3 linked regions of the Kluyveromyces lactis genome follow. The protein of the gene in region 1 interacts with the protein of each later gene in a pairwise test. Links are inferred from orthologs where the notes say so. Each region holds a gene or a part of one and is shown in the gene's direction. Other genes may lie near its edges.

What was found. The genes of interacting proteins can lie anywhere in the genome.
Region 2: the proteins of BUD14 (region 1) and BEM2 interact in binary tests that used the Saccharomyces cerevisiae proteins (3 or more experiments, as listed by UniProt). The link is inferred for Kluyveromyces lactis from reciprocal best matches to the Saccharomyces cerevisiae genes BUD14 and BEM2.
Region 3: the proteins of BUD14 (region 1) and TVP18 interact in a two-hybrid assay, tested with the Saccharomyces cerevisiae proteins (2 studies listed by BioGRID). The link is inferred for Kluyveromyces lactis from reciprocal best matches to the Saccharomyces cerevisiae genes BUD14 and TVP18.

Annotation. Positions count from the first base shown.
Region 1 is NC_006039.1:388,433-392,784, forward strand, and holds BUD14 (protein phosphatase regulator BUD14), read left to right. Parts: upstream 1-1,379; coding exon 1,380-3,443; downstream 3,444-4,352. Other genes in the region: ADE1 (phosphoribosylaminoimidazolesuccinocarboxamide synthase), read right to left, coding at 1-599; KAP104 (Kap104p), read left to right, coding at 3,736-4,352. UniProt on the Saccharomyces cerevisiae protein: Important for bud site selection. Seems to be a regulatory subunit of the BUD14-GLC7 type-I phosphatase complex. The BUD14-GLC7 complex is necessary to regulate microtubule dynamics at the cortex and may function as a specific activator of the dynein complex.
Region 2 is NC_006041.1:90,846-95,445, forward strand, and holds the start of BEM2 (GTPase-activating protein BEM2), read left to right. Parts: upstream 1-1,446; coding exon 1,447-4,600. UniProt on the Saccharomyces cerevisiae protein: GTPase-activating protein (GAP) for RHO1 and RHO2. Involved in the control of cellular morphogenesis. Required for proper bud site selection and bud emergence.
Region 3 is NC_006041.1:1,646,226-1,648,975, forward strand, and holds TVP18 (Tvp18p), read left to right. Parts: upstream 1-1,380; coding exon 1,381-1,896; downstream 1,897-2,750. Other genes in the region: KLLA0_E18503g (RING finger and CHY zinc finger domain-containing protein), read right to left, coding at 1-840; MOT3 (Mot3p), read right to left, coding at 2,038-2,750. UniProt on the Saccharomyces cerevisiae protein: Golgi membrane protein involved in vesicular trafficking.

The DNA of each region.
Region 1 (4,352 bases):
TTTATAGCCAACTTCTCGATTCTGTCACATAAGTCTTGACCGACCAATCGAGCTGCCTGTTCCGGAGAAATATTTTCGTCGTGCTCACCTTGTTCTGCTTTAGTAGAAGGAGTGAAGATAGGAGATGGGAATTCCTGAGATTCCAGTAAACCTTCTGGCTGTGGTAAACCATGGACAGTACCGGTCTTCTTGTATTCTTTCCAGGCAGATCCTGTGATAAATCCACGAACGATGACTTCTAATGGGATTAATTTGTGTTTTTGAACCAACAAAGATCTTCCCTCCAATTGAACTTTGTACTTAGATTCTGAAAGCTTTGCAGGTAATTTGTCAAAGATGGTTTCACCTGGACCTAATGGTTTCAAATGGTTGCGGACATCTTCCTTCAAGAAATCAAACCAAAATTCGGACAACTTGGTCAACAAGATACCCTTTTCTGGAATTGCATTCTTCATGATGACATCGTACGCAGAAATACGGTCAGTAGCGACGAACAACAAAGTTTGATCATCGACTTGGTAAATGTCTCTAACTTTACCTCTAGCCACTAATGGTAGGATACCGTCCAAGTTGGTTTGAGTGATGCTTGTCGTGTTCATGATGATCCCTTTTTTTCTTTTCAATTTCAATCTCCGCAGTAGTAATAGTCGGAAGCGAGTGAGTAATAGTACGTGAATCAGCTAATGCTTAGATGTGATAGTTCTCTAACATCTATCAAATATTAAGTGAAAAAGTGATTATACCGCTTTGCAACCACCTAATTTGCACACGTACTTACAAAGCTGGCTCATCTCATTATATACATCGCATTTCAATTTTTTATTTCTCATGTCTCGAGGGAAAGTAATATCGAAATATATCGAGATATGTCAAGTCAAAAATCATCATTTAAACACGTGACTGATATATTCCACGTAATGCTAAAATAGTAATCCGGGTAATGAAATATATTTCGGTTTCTCTTTCGCATCAGTTCCTTTTTCGCATAGCGAAGTTTCTGACATTCACAGCCGTTAGTCTTTAGTGATATACATTTAGAGATACAGATATGGTGGAATTAGTGAGAATGAACATGAAACGAGACAGAGAGGGAAAGGTGTATAGCGTACAGTAAAGGTCGTTCGACTTATCGAAGCTAGCACCTATACAAAAGGCGCAACAAACCATTTTAGAAGGGTTTTCAGGGGGATTTTCCGCTCTGGATAAAGCACTAAGAGGCTTGAAACAGCTTTTAATTCTCTTGTTTTTGGTGCAACATTTTCCACTGAGGTTTCAGAGATATATTTATACACGCGTTACTTGGAGAAAAGTATTATCAGCTTCCATCTCTGAATCCTATCTGTGCATTAACTGCTATTATACCACTCGAGTTGTATCGTATGATGGATTTGGAGTATCCTAAGATGTCAGGACTCGCAGGTCTGGGCTCTGGCTTAAGATCACGGGAACGATCAAAACCTGATCTATCGATATTAACTGATCCTACACTGGTTGAGGATTTCGATGAAATCATGAAACAGATGCGAAGCCTCAAGAAGGACGAGGAATCCCTGAGTGTCAATGCTAGTGTTGTGATAACGCCGACTGAAGCACATGCTAATGACGTAAATCGTCAAAAAGTTGACTATGAAGGTGTCCCGGATCTCGGTGATTTACAGTTGGAAGATGAGGAGGAAGAAGAAGAAGGAGAAGAAGAGTTAGCACAGGATATCGATAATGAGCATGATACCAGTTTCAGTTCGCGACATGGGAACGAGCTGCAGGATTCAGATTATGCATATTCAGATTCGGATTTTGAAGATAATTTGGAGGAGCGGTTAAGAAGTTTAGAGACTTCTTCTCAAAGAAACAGCGGAGAACATGTTTCTTCTGTGAAAGGGATAGTTGCAAACGATACATCGAGTGCTATTGATAATAACATGGTGGCAGATCGTGCGAAAGAAGCAAGAAACGGATTGGAGCAGAGATCATATGACGATATTGATGATGACGATGATGAGGCAGAAGAACAAGATGACAACGACGAAGAGGACTTGAATATAGGTTGGAACACTAATGAATCTGATGATTCTGATGAGCTGCAGCCGTTAAATCCGCCGCAAGAATTAGACCCCAGCAAATTATATGCATTATACCCGTTCCAGGGACCTGATCCATCACATTGCCAGTTGGAACAGGACGAAGGTTGTACTCTTTTGAATGACCAGGACTCTTATTGGTGGTTAGTTAAACGTTGCAGTGATGGGAAAATAGGATTCGCGCCTGCAGAACTTCTTGAAACGTTTCCTGAAAGGTTAGCTAGACTGAACTGTTGGAAAAACGAAAATATATCATCACATTCAATTTCTCATAAAGAGGATTCAAATTCAAGCAAAGAATCGAATATTTTGAACAAAGAAGATAGTATTGAGGCAGTTGAGTCCCCGTTGAACGCATACTCAAAAACTAATAAATCGGTTAGCTTCAATAATGTTGTCAGTTATGCTGAAAGATATATTGATGAAATAGAGCAAGAACCATTGGAGGACGACAGCGGAGAACTGAATGGTGCAGGAGAATACGTTCATGATGTGGAATCAAGAGACGGGCAAGACGGGCATCTACACCTGGGAACAGATCTTGGAACTCACTTAACACATGTCGATGAAATACATGAAACCCTTCTGAATGATCATTTGTCAGATGATGTAAGCGAAGTTGTAAGTGATGCTGCCTTCAATGTCCATGAAATGGCACCATTAATGGTGCAAAAAAATAGACCTTCAAAACCTGCCTTGACGGATCTGTTGTCAGAGAAACAAAATGATCTAAAACAAGTCTTTCAAGCTCCCACTATGCCAGTAGCAGCACCAAGAGGTACTTCCCAAATGACAAATTCAAATTCAAATTGTTCCATATCTACAATCGGAGAATACTCGCCTTCCTCTTCAGACTGGACAAATGATTCACCTCAGTTGCTAAGTGAAAAGGAATTCGAGAAGTCTAATTTGAATGATCAAATCCCATCTTCCAGAGCTATTCAAGATATATCGAAAATTGTAAGCTCGCAAGATGCGCCTGATTTGAACTCTCTTCATGATGAAGATTCTCTGCAACATAGTGAATCATTGCCAAAAGTAACTCATAATCACCAGCATTCGATATCTACACTGAATGCTGTAGATATCAACAGTTCTGTCGGGACAGAAAAAACTATTGATATTGATGAAGAAAATAGTATCTTACCAGATGAAAATACAAACGCTTACAGCACCGTTCCATCCTCTATAGCCTCAAGTTGCATGGACCATGAACACAACTCTCCATTAATTTCTGAAGTAGCATTGCATACAAGCACTGGTGTAGTAGGGGATTATCATCCAGTGATTAACTCCTTGTACAACCCTATTTTCAGCAAAATAGATGTTATGATGGACAAGATAGAAAACGCCATCTCAAACTGATATTACCTCCATTCAACGCATTATGTAGCTAACTTTTATAGAGACATAACCCAACAACAGCAATCACTATTGCTTCAGTAATCTGTCTGTGCTCATCTCCTGTTTCAGTACCGAAAGAATAACACACGTGACCGCAGTACTGCATTAGACTTTAAAATTTTTTTTTGGTTTGTTAGCTCATCGCAGAGATATCAAATTCACTAAAAACATTTGAGCAGGAGGAAGCACGGATATTGCTGATAAGGAAGTGGTCAGTACCGTGGAGACTCCATAAACAACCTTGAATCCCAGTATGCCATGGTCACCAGATAACGAAGGACTAACTCAACTTTGTTTGACATTACAACATGCTGTTTCAACTAATTCTGATGAGAGACAGCAAGCACTCGATGCATTGGAAACATTCAAATTAGAACCACAGTTTGCCAATTATTTATGTTACATTTTACTTCATCTTGAGGAAATGGATCAGTTAAGAGGTACTGCAGGTATTCTTTTGAAGAATTGCATATTGGGAGGCAACATCGTTGACCTAGGGTATGTCAAATCAGAAATTGTACGCGGGTTGTGTTTGAATAACAAATTTATTGTCAAGATTACTGGTATTGTAATTGCAGCCTTGTATTCTACTTATTATAGACAGCATAGAGAAGATCCTCAAGGGTTAATCACACTTGCACAATTAATTGAGCTCGCGAGAGACAATAACGAGGGTTCTTTGAAGGCCTTATCCAAAATGATGGAGGATGGTGCACAGTTTTTCCAGTTACAATGGTCGAACAATCAGGTGCCGATTGGAGAATTGGTATCGTTGTTTTTGACTTTGATGGTAGAAGGTAAGACACCAGTAGTCAGATCTGAGAGCATCAACTGTTTGAACAATATTATCCCGTTACAGTGCCAAGAATT
Region 2 (4,600 bases), on another chromosome or scaffold:
ATAGATGATTGATGTTACTAATAGCAGAGCCTCAACTCATCCAGATTGTGAAAGGTTGTAATCAGCAGTTCCTGGATTCTTTTTTCAGTGACAGTCCATAAGCAAGACTACTGAATCACTTGCGTTCTCTAAATATGGAAACTGAGCCATAGGATATATTCGTCATATTTCAAAAGGAAAGCGAAATGACGACAAGGTAGGGCAACTTTCTATATAAAGAACAGAATAAATAAATACAGCCCTACCGATGCTTGTTGATGAAAGAGCCAAGAATGGTATCGGGCAGAAGATACAAATGTACGGGGGATTAAAAGACGGTAGCCTTACGAAATCTTCATCACGAGACGCGGTACCCTCTTTTTTCTCTTCCCTTTAAAAAAAACTTTATTCAACTGCATTACTGGCTTGGCGAATGCGTTAACACTTTGACCCTTTTGGGTCTCTAAGTAACAGTATAACTTCCTTATTTTGAGCATTTTTCCTACTTGAAGATACGATGACCGTCTAACCAGTAATGAAGTGTGACATTGACATTACCCCATTTTTACCGTGCATCATCGATGAATACCAGCTCCTACCTGCATCAGCAGTCTAGCTGGTTGGACGCGTCGCGGATAAAGTTAGTTATATATGAACACGCTACTTAAATATTCACGACCTGCACTGGGCTTCTTAAAATACGTAGACGTTGACCAAATCTTTGAATCGATTGTTCTGAGTTCGATTTTTTTGGTGGGAAAATCGAATCATAAAGGAAATGAAAGCTAAAACCTAAGTACGAAAAAAAATAAACAAAATACGATAGAACTGATCATATTTTTACACAACAGACAACATTTCTTTCCGGAACGGCACAAGACCAGTGAGCCCTTTACGAACTAATACATACACTCATTACTTTATTATAAATATACCTTGGATATACCTGGTTCGCTTTGTTTCCTAGTTATAAGCTGAGTGTTTTTGATTATTTTTTTTCAGCTTCAATCGCGATTTTAGAGGACGAAACGATACACCTCATAGGCTCCTTCCAGTTTTTGTTGGTATTTTGACGTGATCGATCACTTATCGCTTCCAATATCATAGTATCATTGTTACCTATCCATCATTGGGCTTGGAACTGTATTGCTCATAAATTGGAAAAGTGCCATCTAGAGTGCCTAAATTGATTGGATACCGACTCAAATCGTTCTTACTGAATTGATCGGTTTTGATAATAAGCTCAAGTGAAATAGTGTTTATAATTGGTTGATTTCCGCTGGTCATAAAAACTATTATCGATTAATCGATTATTTATCTCTTTTGCCTTATTTCGAATTGAGACTTAACTAAGACATCAGTTACCAGCTTTCCTTTCTTTCGTTTGATTCTATCCAGTTACACCTCTTCATTGAAGAGTAAAGGGAAATTCTAACGCATATATTCCACACAAGTAACGATTCAACAATGAAGGGTCTCCGGTGGTCAACTAGAACTAGGAAGAATGAGGATAAACATAAAGGCTCTGGGCATTCAATAGGCACGTCGTCAAATTCTGCGCCTTCGTCACATAGGGGATCAACTACATCTACGAATTCTGGGTTATCAATTTCGAGGCATGGCTCTCTACCGAAGTCTGCCTCCAATTTATATCTTTCAGAATCCCAGTCAAGATCGCAACGGTCTTTGTCGTCTTCGAGCAGTAGACATGATCTGCAAACAGTTACAGACGAAGAATCAATTGACTCAATCCCTGGTCATTCTAATAGTCTAACGCCAGTGATAAGTTCAAACAAAGATTCTATGACGATAAACGGAGGATCAGGAAGTACCTACGCCATTAACAATCTTACTTATGATAATAAACATGCCTCTTCCGTTAGCAATAATGACCAAAGTAATGCCGATATACGGTCAGAGAGTCTTGATCGTTCTCATACTCCCGCTTTACAGTTGAATTCTGATAACTTTGATTCTATGGTTTTTAAAACTGGCTGGATGAACAAGTCACACGGTACCGTTCATACTCCTTCGTCTAATTCGTCATTCGGGTCTTCTAGAAATCACCGTGAAAGTAGAATATACGGTTCGGATTTATCCTCCAGTAGTTCTGTCAGGAGTTCGTCTAACTATAGTCAGGAGTACCGTTTATACAAAGCCCAACTTAAAGGATGTGTCCTAAATCTTTACAAATCAGGTATCAGTAATGCAAAATTCTTGGACCCTACACTCGATCCACCTGACACAAAGCATGAACATGAAGAAGATCCGCAGTTACCGACGCCGCCTCTAATGACAGACATTCCAGTCAGCACCTCAAAGGAACAAAACTCTTCGAAGGAAGCAGGTCCCATTTCTAGTCCAAGCTCCAAGCAAAGTACAGTTTCTGCAATCCAGACAAAAGATAATGAAACAAATGTATCAAAGGACATAACGGAGATTAAATATTTAAGTGAGATCTATCCGCATCCAAATTTAAAGATTGATAAGCATGATCAAATTGTATTTGGAACTGTTGAAAGTATTTGTCATGCTGTTTTATTCTCTGTAACACTAGAAACAAAGAAGATTGTGGACCTTATTTTAATGCTGCCCCTGATCGAGGATTTTTCACTTTTCTTTCAATGTTTCTGCTTGTACGGTAAGACCTTTAGCAAGAATAGTGAAAAGCTTACCAATGACTCAAAGCAATTCCATAAAGTTTCGCCGGCCACAGATGAACTGATGACTCAACGTTTAGCATTGGTAGTAAAGACAGTACTAGACGTTTTTCCTGGTTTTTTGCTAGATGATACAACTTTTAATCATATCATAAACCTGCTAGACATTATATCGTTACATGATGATGAAATATCAAATTCCCTCAAACTAGCGATAGCCGAGTCGCATAATAAACTCAACAAGTTGGTTTCGTTCTCCAAAAAACCAGTAGACCAAAACGCTATTTCAAAATTCGTTGATGTCAAAGAATTTCTCAAATTAGATAATGCAATTTTGGCGGACCAAATACATGCTATCAACTTAACATATAATAAGATATGGTCACCTCAGAAAGACTACTCTTTGTTATATGATTCCGCTTTCAACAAGAACTATATTGATCTTAATCCGCTTGTGTTCAATAACAGGTCAAATATCCACTATGTTAGCAGGCTGTTGATCGAACACCTGTTTAAACAGATTGATGGTACGCCATTACACCCAAAGGAGAGGGCCCTTGTTCTGACGAAGTGGGTCCAACTGGGATGTACATTTGAAAAGATTGGAGATATGGTTTCATGGTTGGCGATCGCAACAATAATATGTTCTACGCCTATTCTAAGGCTATCCTTGACTTGGCAATATATTTCGGATCAAACACTTAAGATCATTTTCAAAGACTGGGTCCCCACAATCGTTCAACTTGAGAGAAGGCAATTATCGTTTCGGACTACTAATAGTGTCTTCATCTTAGCTCCTCCTAATCTGAATGAGAAATCTATCAGGGAAAACGTGATTCCGTACTTTGGAGACTTAACTATTCACACTAATGATTTGACTCAGGATACCATGTTTAGGTATCTGGAGAAAAAGATCTATAGAACTAAAAATGCCTTCCAAAAGTGGCAACAAAGGCTTCCTCCAATTGAAATGGCAAATATACAAAGTACGCCACAAAATCCCGACGTCGACTTTCACCACTATTTGAACTATCATGTATCCCGGTCACGTTTGAATGTTGAAAACATAATGGAAATGAGTCTGAAACTGGAACCCCCAAAGCTGGATAAACTTGATGCATTTGCGAATTTATCAAAAAGAAGCTCGCTGTTAAATGGTAGCTATCTGCCAATTTTGTTCAATCAGCTGTTTCTAGACTATTCTCTTTTCTCTCAGACTGCCCTCATAGGTGCTGCAGGTGCCCAAAATAACAGGCAGTCATTCGTTCAAACAAACACCCTCAGCAGGTCCGGTAAAACGCTATCTGTTAGTGGACCCTTAGGCATTAGCCCTGAAGATAAATCGTTGATAACCGGTATTGACCGGATTGATGAACCCGTGGTTAGAGAACTGTCCACAAAGCAGTCAAACAAACAAATGCTTCTTAAGTCTATTCGCGACGTGTTCAGTATCAACATGGATTTGTTCCATGTTTTAGATGATCTTACTTTTAAATCAGTTGATGACTGGGACAAAAAATCGAGACCGGCAAGTGTAGTTATCGAAACCCCTAAAAGATTCTCTGTTCAATCCTCCCGGGATTCTCAAGAAGTTATTAATAGATTAAGCGTTGGTGTAGAAAACATGGACTTTTTCAAAAACATCTCCAAGACAACCGATAGTTGGGATGAGGCTGTTATTAATGTCGTATTGAAATCTGCCTCTCTAGAAAAATTGTTCGATGTCCTGGTTCTGACTTCTTCAGTCTTCTCGAAGCTGGTAAGTATAAATGATATTTCGGCTTTTTTCAAAAACCATCAGGGAAAGTATAACGAGGGAAATGGAGCTGGTCTCTTGGACTACGCAATTGTTAAATTATGCATGGACAATGATTTGTACACCAAAACATTCTTCAGCACTTACAAAAGCTTTACTACAACGGCCTCTTTGTTGGAGAATTTGGCAAAACGGTTCATAGGTG
Region 3 (2,750 bases), on another chromosome or scaffold:
TTGCGTCGCCTCCCTTTGGAAATGATGGTCATCGATTTCTTCATCATGACAGAACCGGCAAGATACCCACTTGTTACATTGACTGCAGAGTAACTTACAGTTCCGCTGGTAATGCGGACACCCTCGAACCCCAGGTATTTGGTCTATATCCTTCTTATCCTCTTCAGTGGGTTCTGGCGGATCGAAATTGTATTCCGATACATGATTACCCTTAGAGACCAGCTCGTCAGATTCATGCGAATGCGAACAACCGGTATGCTCGCTTGGTACAGTGGCATGCTTCATCATTAGCGTTTGGATCATGGATGCCTTTTGTGTTTCTGACAAATCAACCAACGCTCTGATTTTTTTGATCCTCGACCTTAACGCATCCTCATCCTGATTGAATTTTACATCCCAATGCGTTAATTCCGTATATTCTTTATCCATTGGCATCACTAAATCGTTCGTGTACATCGTCGGATGCATCACCGAATGAACCTTAGTCACAACAGTAGGATCGGTATGCTCCGGACCCTTTATCTCCTCATTGGCAATACCGATACCAGCACTAGCCTTATCCTTTGAATCAGTACCTGATTCATCCCTTGTACCTTTTTTGCCATCGTCATGCGGAGAAGAACTTCCCCGTTCTGCATACGAAGGTAGGTTCAGTAACATAGTATCCCACCTCGCCTTGAGTGTCTGTAAACGATCCAGCGCCCCGCTAAAAGTAGCACCCCCCTGCAAGTCTGACATAAAACTATCCCATTGAAACTTCAACGAAAGCCGCGAAAGATCAGGGAATCCTCTGCCCAACGTCTCCCAATCGCTATCTTCATCACCGCTGGAAAGACTCATTTATAATCTTCTGTGCACCAATAGGAAACCTTGATAACTACAATGTCAGAAAAATCTCTTATTCCAGTCTTGCTGCATGTAAAGCAATAAGATATGGTGTGTATTCTAAGGCCTTTTACCTATATCTCCTCTGATCAACTGTGAAACGGATTCTTCGAACCTTATTGTAAGTCGAGAAAGTGGTGATTCTCATCTACACACATTTTTTCATGTTAAAGTAAAAGAAAGAAAAAATTAATAAAGGCTTTGGTAGAATTTAATGTATATCTGACAACAAAAGAGGTTTGAATGCCAAGTTCTGGATGGTTCATTGATTGATATCTTCAAGTTGTTATACTAATTGAAAGAGTTTTTTCATATATTTGACTGCTGTTGTACTACCCACTTGGTGAAAAGGATTACTCAGCGCAATTTTTGTGAATATCTTTACTGATATTATAATACACAGAGTACGTGAAAGAAAGGGGAGGTACATTTAAATTCCAATTGTTATACAAACAACAATAGCAAACGACATTTGTTCATACTAATTGGAGAAAAATGGTGTCCGTGGGTTTTTTGAAATCGATGTTTAACGTTTCAGGCATGGTAGCCGATTTGAAGTCTTCAAACTTCAGTATTTACGGTCAATGGATTTCATACTTGAATATAATTTTCTGTCTTGCGTTTGGTATTGCCAATATCTTCCATTTCAGTGCAGTCATTGTATTTTCTATCATTGCAATTGTTCAAGGTTTGATAATATTGTTCATTGAAGTACCATTTTTATTGAAGATTTGTCCGTTAAGCGATAACTTCATTGGGTTTGTCAGTAAATTCGACACCAATTTAAGACGTGCCTTGTTCTATTTGGTTATGTGTGCTATTCAATGGTGTTCTATTATCGTTCAAAGTACTAGTTTAATCGTTGTGGCGGTCGGTCTCAGTATTACAGCTACAGTGTACGCACTTGGTGCTGCTGCTGGTCAAGAATTCAAGAATAGTGCTATTCTAAGTGACCGGGGTAGAGTTGCTGCATCAGTGACAAACGAAGCGGTTGTTAGAGACATGCTTTGAACTAGTATGAGGAGAGGTTATATACCATTTTATTTCTTATTATGTATGATTTTTGTCAGTATAAAAATGTAACAGACCCTGTCTGTGTTTCTTCGAATGGAGATTACTAAATAATTGTTACATGATACTACCAACGCGGTGTTAGCTACACTTGCTATCTACTATATAATTCAAACATCTTTTCACCTGGTCCTTGGGCAAAGCGTTTGAATCCAACATGTCTCTGATGGTTGTTGAGGGTTCATTGTTGATTAGACAAATTGTCTCACCAGTGCTTGTGGTTACCAAGTTGGCAGTATTACCAGACCCGTTGTTTACATTCATCAGTATACCAAACAACGTGAATTCGTGTAGGAGATACTGTGTGTGCTTCAGTTTTAAATGTTGAAGCAAGTTGTCCTTACGTTTATGTGTGGATGAACACCATGGGCAATGAAACTTTTTCACGTTTGAATGAGACAGAAGATGTCTCTTTAACCAAGATTTTCGTCTGAATTGTTTCTCACATAGATGACACTGGTACGAGTGATGCGATTCGTGTGGTACGCCATCATGAGTCAACTGTTGCTGTTGTTGATCATGATCTTGGTCACGCCCGTTATTAGGATTGGAAAGAAGCTGTTGCTCATGGGTATTGTGTTCTTTGAAGGTTGAGAAGGAATCTTCACCAGTTCGAATGTTTAAAGGCTGCAGGGCCGTTGAAGGCTGTATATTGTGAGAAAGGTTTTGGGTTTGAGCTTGAAGTTTGACTTGCAGCATTTGTAACTGCTGCAAGTTATGCAATTGTTTATAATGTTGCATTCTATCGATTGAATGCACGGGGACGGCAGGGTGATAGGCCTGCTGCAAATTGT